2 linked regions of the Arabidopsis thaliana genome follow. The protein of the gene in region 1 interacts with the protein of each later gene in a pairwise test. Each region holds a gene or a part of one and is shown on either strand. Other genes may lie near its edges. The genes, in order: AT3G49910 and CSP3.

Region 1 (3,972 bases):
AGTAACTGTTGGTGGATTGTATGCGGTTGATCACTTAACGAATGTGAAAGCTAAGCTGAACAGTAACGGTAAGTTTGGAGCTCTTCTGCAACACGAGGGCCTTCCAAAATCGATAGTGACAATCTCAGGTGAGATTGATACCAAGACATTAGACAAGTACCCAAGGTTAGGTCTCTCGCTTTCCCTTAAACCTTGAAGAGCTACACATACCAATGGAAGTTAGGTTTAACAATGGAGACTACCCTTTCTGTCTCCTATGACATTGTTTAGAGTTGAGTTGGTTATTGAATAATGAATCCCTCGGCTAATCTCCTTATTTCTGATAATTCTTTTTCGGATTTGTTTCTTTTGGGGCTCACGCTTAATAGGAACAGTTATATCGCTCTTTTCTGAGAGTTTTTTTTTATTGTTTTGTTAAGAGAAACAAACCTTATGTGAAACTAGAATCAATCAAAGACTCAAGTTGGAAAAGAATCAGAGATAGGTCTTCTACACATGTACATCAAATGTGAAAACTGTTCAGTCGGATAATTGCATTTGAGATATGTTTTTTTAGTTCTATCTTTTTTCTCGAGGAAACGACTATTTTTTAAGGTAATGAGAAAGAATCAGTTTCATAGAAATGAAATGATTTGCTGTTAATCAGAGTGGCAATTCTTTTAAATCCACAGTAATGCTTATGCCAAACAAAAAATTACAATTGAAAACCACCAAGTTCGAACTCAACCTATACCACAAACGTCTTAGACAACACAAAATTGCAGAGATAAGTGTGAAGAGACGAAAGGATTGGTCTGATAAATTGATATGTCGTTTAAAGACACAAACTCGTCATTCCAATATGTTCAAAAATGAAAACCACTGTCGAAAAATGGAACCCCCACTATCAAACGAAATAACCTAAACCAAGAACACTACTCTAGAGAATCATTTCAACTAAGTCACCACATAAATGACCAATATCATCAATTCTACTGCAATAGACTGATAAACGCAAGACTCCTATGTCAAATCAGGAGTTCAACACCAATCTCAACACACATCCAACACATAATCAAAAGCTAAACCAAACAAACACATCATTATAAAGAATGAGACAAAGAGATAAACTTCCATAACCAAACTTCAAATACTCAAAATCAAAACATAAGTTCTCATGTCTAGCACCATAAAGATCCACTGACAACATTCCAAAATATCCAAAACTTGAAAATTAAAAAGCGATTGAAGATAACTCTAAAAGATAAAACCTTTCAAGAAGATTTCTTCTTCCTTCTTACTTAATCAACGTTCTGCATAACATCCTCAGACGTAAACTTAGTACCCTTCTCCTTATCAGCAGCAGCACGTCCCTTAGCCTTCCTCTCCAAAAGCGATTTCCTATCTTTATCAAGACGAAGCTTCGTTATCACAACTTTCGACGGCTGAATCCCAACGTTCACGGTTGTTCCATTCACCTTCTCCCTCGTGATTCTCTCGATGTGAATCACCCATTTGCGACGGTAAACCTGAACAACTTTGCCTTCACGTCCCTTGTAAGTACCACGAACGATCTGAACCTCGTCGTCTTTACGGATCGGCATGGATCTGACATTGTACTTCTGACGAAGATCGGTGGAGAGAGGAGAGCTCATTATCACACGCCTCTCGCTGGAGGAAGCTGTGAAATGAGCCTTCCTGTTCTTTCTGCGAGAAGAGGTCACTCTTGGGTTGTACTTCATCTTCGCCGCCGGGATTGAGAGAGTCTCTACTCTTAGGGTTTTTTAAGGGGATGAGGAAGAGGTTATGAGTGTGTGTGAAGGTTATATAGTTAGGTTTTGAGTGGAGCTAGGTTTACTCGATATATTAGGGCTTTGTTATGAATGGGCTGGGCCTGTTTTAGATTTTGATTTTAAAGAGTTTTATAATGGGCCTCTTCTATGTTAGCTACACTTCTGGCCTAGTAAAAGTTAATTCATTCTTGGATGCAATCAGTTTAGCGAAAGAGGTAAAAACAAAACGACTACACTGATATAGTTGGTATTCTCATGTTGTAATAGGCTAGCTGTATCATGCAATTTAGAGAAGTTTTGTATCATGCAATTTAGAACTTTTATTTTTGAGAGAAACAAAAGCATAACGTTTGGATGATATATTAATTTAAATAGAGTTGTGTTTCAATTCATATATTCTGCCTTTTTAGATTCGATTTTCAAAAACACGATGCACTAGTTGTAAAAACGTTATTTTTATATATTTAATTTAACATTATATTCAAAAAATTAATATTAATTTAACAAAAAAATTATTTTTCAAGCAGCTGTTTACACTTTGTGGAGAGAAAGAAATGCAAGGCTTCACACTACTGTCTCCAAACCGGCTCGGTTACTTGTTAAGGAAATTCAAGCTTACAGGTCTATACCGTCACCTTTTCCAGTACAAAATTAGTCCATCTTCAACCTTTCCTAGTTCATCTACAACCTATCTTGCTTCATGGTTTCGCTCCTTTCATCGATAGCGAATCTTTTGCGTCATTGATCTTAATCTTTTGATATGTTTCGGTTTCTTGTCTTGTTTCATGATTTCTTTGAGCTTTTTCATTTTGCAGGTCAAATTGTAGTTTTCAAATGATACCTTGGATTTGAGACATCAGGAAAATAAATAAAATAATTAGAAAATTATTATTATTATTATATCAGTATGTTTTTATACAATATATTAGACATTCATAACTATAATGTGATATACATCCCGGAGAAAATCTCAGGTCGAAACTCTTACATTTTAGAACCCATTGCCAATGTTTGAACAAGGACTTCCAAAGACTCTTGGATATATATATTTTCAAGCAAAATAATGATGTTGTACATAATAATAATCAGAGGGGCTAACAAATTATGAAAGAAATAAGTATCATATGAAGTGGACTTTGTATTAAACTGGCCGATCAAAACTAATTTTCTTGTGGTGGTTGGTGCAAACAAATTGATATAAACAAATAAACAATCCATGTTTTTTACGACAACGACAAGTATGTCAATTAGTAAAGAAAAATAACCGATCAAACTTGCACTAGTACTATATATACACAACAATTTAAGCTCAATTTAAACCTAAATGAAATCTCGTGAAATTTGAATGTTAGAACGAATGTACATTTTGGAGAACATGTGGGACGTGGTCCCTCTATATGAACTAGAAGGTTTATGGTGAAGAAAAAGGAAAAACGCATTTAAAGACTTTCACGCATATAATAACGATCACAACAAATCCTCTTAAATTCATTTATTTCCCATATTACTCACATTTATTGCCCATTCACTGTCCAAAATTTCCTTCTCTTCTTGATACTAAAACCTAACCGGCGAATTCGAATCTTCTCAAAACTCACACAAATTATTCTCATTCTTTGATCTCTTCTCTCTCGGAAAAAAAGACATGAAGCGATGGACAAACTTAGGGTTTGTTGATACGATTTATGAAGACGAAGACTACGTAGATCATCACTCTTCTTCTTTATCTTCTTCTTCTTCATCTTTGTCTCTTTCTCCTAAACAACCTATCAATCTCTCTTCTTCTCCTTCAATGGAGCTTGAATCTCGAGTCCATAAATGGTAATGTTTCTCTTAGAAAATTTACCAAATCTTTACCACATTTTTTTTTTTGGTAGAAAAATCTTTACCAAATTATAATTTCTCTTTTTTTTGGGTGTTTTTTCTATATTTTTATTCAGGTCGTTGGCTAATAACTCTAAACCTGATGTATTCGTAAATGTGGGAGGCACAAGGTTCCATCTTCACAAGGTTACATATTTTCAAGCTTTTATTTGTCAATTTTCATAAAAAAAACAATTTTTTTTTAACAAAAACTATGATATTTTTATTTGATTTTTAATTGTATATTTGTTATAAATTTAAAAAATTACACATTTATTGCAAAATAAGCAAAAAGGTTTGATTTTTATTGGGAGGTTATGTTTTATGTCATTATGTG
Region 2 (4,108 bases), on another chromosome or scaffold:
CCGGTGACGCAAGTGAATATTCCGGTGATTTCGTTTTGGTTGCAGAGCGTGCGTCCCCATATGCGGCCGGACCAAGCGGCGGGTATGGAGATGAGTCGTGACTCAAAGGAGTTGAGGGAGAAACCAGTGGTGGGTAATGGAGCGGTGCCGGCGCCGGAGAGAAGTCCCGGCCAGACGGTGTAGTTACACTGGTTAACGATGGTGAACGTGGTGGAGGAACCACCATTGATGAAAAACATAATCGCTAAGAGAAAGCAAGAGACTTTAGCCAAATCCATTGTTACCGTTTGATGTTGTATGATTCAGGAGAAGTTAGGGATCGTGTTTATATAAGAGAATCGGGGATTTGTGTTATGGAAAGTTTCATAATATCAATTTTCCCTATATGAGTTTTGCCATTACAGAATCCGATACATGTTCACTCATCATTTCCTTTATTTCAATATTCTCATTAATACTTGTGAAATGGAAATTACGAATCAAGCTAGTATACTTGTTATCCTTTTCGAAAATTATACATTTTTTTTTTATAACTATTTGTTGAGGATCTCTTCCTAAATTCAAAACTAGAAATTTAGATAAAGGTTAGAGGAGGAAAAAGCTCTCTTTTGTTTGTTAAGGAAAAAGTTATTTAGTTTAAAGACTTTGATAGGAAAGAGACATGTATGGTGTTGTGTAGTAAGTTAATTGTACTGGAATTGGTGGGATTTTGTATTAACGGAAATAAAGGAGGTGTTGGACATTAGAAGCTTGTCTTTGTATATGTTAAGAAAGATCAAGTCACTTCCAATAACAGAACACGTGGGATCCAAATGTTTATATCCGAAAGATTCAGCTAATCACAAGTGTAATTAGGTTAAAAAAAACTAACGGGATTAACTTCATCATCTTCTTAAAACATCACGGTAAGTAGAGAAAAAGAAACCACGAACTGACGAACAGGCATAGGCACTACAAGATCACGCACACCATGTCTCTCCTCTGTTCAGGAGATTCTCCTAAAACAAGATCTAAGTAATCTAAAATATCAAAAGATTATTCTTAAGCTAATATCTCTGTTTCATCAAGAACAAGAAAAACAGCAATGCAGAGTATAAGTAAACCAGTTACAGGAAAATCTTTAAGCTCTCCAACAAAGAGGAACCAAGAAAGACTTGTGACTCATCTCTTTGTATTTACAAGTTAGTAAAAAAAAGTCTCAAATCTTGGTATATAACAGAAGTGACCATAACAGATTGAATTTTCAAGTCATACAATCACACTCATTGCAAGGAAAGACAAGAAACTGTAAATAAGCAAGCACACATATCATTCAAGATCTCAAACTTATGGCATCAACAAAAGCAGTGAACAGGTTGCATAAACCAGTCAAAAGAGTAATATAGAGAGATCAAAAACTCCCAAAACAACCATTCTTAAACATCCTAAACGACTTTAGCAATCACATTATAGTCACCAAAAAGGAGCATTAGGTAGATTTTAATAGAAAACAAAAGAGGTTTATGAACATTACTCTTCTTCTTTGCATCTTTTTGTTAAGCAACCGAAGTACATTCCCTCGCAAAGTGACCTTCCTTGCCGCAGATGAAGCACTTGTTACTGCCACCGCCACCTCCGCTGCTTCCACTTCCTCTCCGATCACAGTCACGAGCCAAATGGCCAGTTCCTCCACATTCGTAACAAGCACGACCACCACCACCACCACCAGAAGGTATCTTGCTGGTGCAAACTTTCGCAATGTGGCCAACTCCGCCACAGGTATAACAAGTGCTTCCACCACCTCCAACGTTTCCACCGCCGTTTTGCCTACAATCCCTAGCGAAATGTCCCACACCACCACACATGTAGCATCCATCACCGCCAGATCCACGACCACCACCTCCTCCGTATCTGTTTCCACCAGAACCACCACGACAATCCTTTGCCAAATGACCAACCTCACCGCAACTGTAACACGGACGACCACCTCCTCCTCCTCCGCCGCTGTTTCCACCACCGCTTTGCCTACAATCCCTAGCGAAGTGTCCCACATCACCACACATGTAACATTCACCTTCGCCGCCAGATCTACGACCACCACCACCTCCAAAGCTTTTCCCACCACTTCCACCGTCACAATCCTTAGCCATATGACCAACCTCACCGCAATTAAAACAATTACCTCCGGATCCACGGGAGCTGTTTTCCTTCTTATTAAGTGAACCGCCGCCGGGAGCAGTAACTTCAATGGCCTTAGTCTTTCCGTCGCTTCCAAGCGCGATTTCGTATTCAACCGATTCACCAAGAGTCAAGCTACGGAATCCATCGGAGACAATTGAGGATTGATGAACAAAAAGCTCTTCGCCGCCATCATCGGGAGTAATGAAACCGTAGCCTTTTCCATCGCTAAACCAACTAACTTTTCCGATAGATCTCGCCGCCGATTGATCTTCCATCGCCATTAGATCAGAGAAAAAGGTTAACAAAAACTCGAAGCACTTTGTTCGTACAAAGAGAGGAAATGGGTAAAATGAAAACCCTAAATTGCTACTTGCTAGATCTATTAACCCCAAATTGACCTTAAATTCGCCACGTCAGCTCCTTCTCTATCGGCGGCAGTTACCACGTGTGCATTTTGGATCAGGCCCATGGTTCACATAATGAAATGGGCCTATTTATGTAAGAGTTTCAAAAGAACTAAGCAAAATTGATAAGGTTTGATTTCACACTAACTTTAAAAAAAATGCTTGAGATGTTTTATCATCTCTTAACCATCCCCAAACTCTGGGAATTGGATGAAAATGCAGTCTATAATTATCACTTTTTGCAAAAAGAAAGGGATATTCATAGTAAATCTAAAGTAAATATGACATGATTTAGATTATTATGTTATACTTCTACTAGAAGAGAAAGTGTTTCACACTTTTGGTTGTTTTATCTAAACAATATATTATATTTTGATATTATATCTATTTTTATGCAACTTATTTTGCATCCAAATTTTCAATATCCCAGCTCACTTTTTTAATTCAATGAACCAATACATGGATGATATTATCCGAAGTTCAATTGTGAAGAAAAAAATGATTCGATCATATTTTCTTCTAGAAGCAAGAAAAAAAGAACATCCCAATTACTTAAACTAATTATTGGATATCTATCGTCTATTATATATATATATATATTATATATTTTGATAATGTATGGTGTCGAACATCAACAATCTTCTGCTTCCCATTGTTTATGGACAGCATAGCTTTTGTCATGACAATGCTATACTTAAGAAAATGACAAGAGTTCCTTTTTTTATTTATTTTTCTTTTAATGACAATAGTGAATTTATAATTACTTTTTTTTTGTTCACATTTAAAATAGTTATATATATGTGAAAAGAATATGAGTTTTTTTTTGTAAATATTATGAAAGATTCGTGAGATGCAAATGTTCCAGAACATGGCATGTTGAAACAAGAGTGACACATGGATTATGATGACGAGAAGAAAAGAACCTTGTCTGTCGTATTTGCTTAGCTATTTTGGTGGCCCTGGTGAAGGCAATTTAAATTGACTATAATTATTATCATCATAAACGTCATGTTAGTATAACTCTGAAATTCTGAGCAAGAAATTTGACCCAATGTTAACTCTTTGAAATACCGTTATTTATATAACTTTTACCCAAAAAAATTAGAATCATAAAATTAACCCATGCATGCATACCTAGTTGATTGCACAACGTTCAAACTAAAAATGTTTATAACGCCCATAGAAAAAACTCTCAGTAACCCTCCACATACACATATCACATACATCGGAATTCACGATATGCGATTGTAACGTCTCTAAAAATTACTCTTTTCACAGTCGCGTGACAGGAAAAAATTCACTGCCACCAAGGCAAACAACGTTATCGAACTTTCGATAGACTAAGACCATGAATGGTAACATAGACCACACCCAAAACCGCACCGCAACAGTATTAAAATCTTTACATATATATGTATTTATGTATTTTTGTTACTATTTGACATAGATCTTCTTTTCTTTTATTGTCGATGTCGGCTGATTGTGCGACTAGAAAAAAAACACTCCCAGCTTTTTAAATTAGGTGACTACAACATAATACAACT

The links.
Region 2: the proteins of AT3G49910 (region 1) and CSP3 interact in a two-hybrid assay, tested with the Arabidopsis thaliana proteins (one study listed by BioGRID).

What each region holds. Positions count from the first base shown.
Region 1 is NC_003074.8:18,502,060-18,506,031, reverse strand, and holds AT3G49910 (Translation protein SH3-like family protein), read right to left. Parts: upstream 1,869-3,972; 5' UTR 1,722-1,868; coding exon 1,281-1,721; 3' UTR 642-1,280; downstream 1-641. Other genes in the region: VDAC5 (voltage dependent anion channel 5), read left to right, coding at 1-196; AT3G49900 (Phototropic-responsive NPH3 family protein), read left to right, coding at 3,418-3,593, 3,713-3,782.
Region 2 is NC_003071.7:7,762,741-7,766,848, forward strand, and holds CSP3 (cold shock domain protein 3), read right to left. Parts: upstream 2,537-4,108; 5' UTR 2,442-2,536; coding exon 1,536-2,441; 3' UTR 788-1,535; downstream 1-787. Other genes in the region: AT2G17860 (Pathogenesis-related thaumatin superfamily protein), read right to left, coding at 1-278.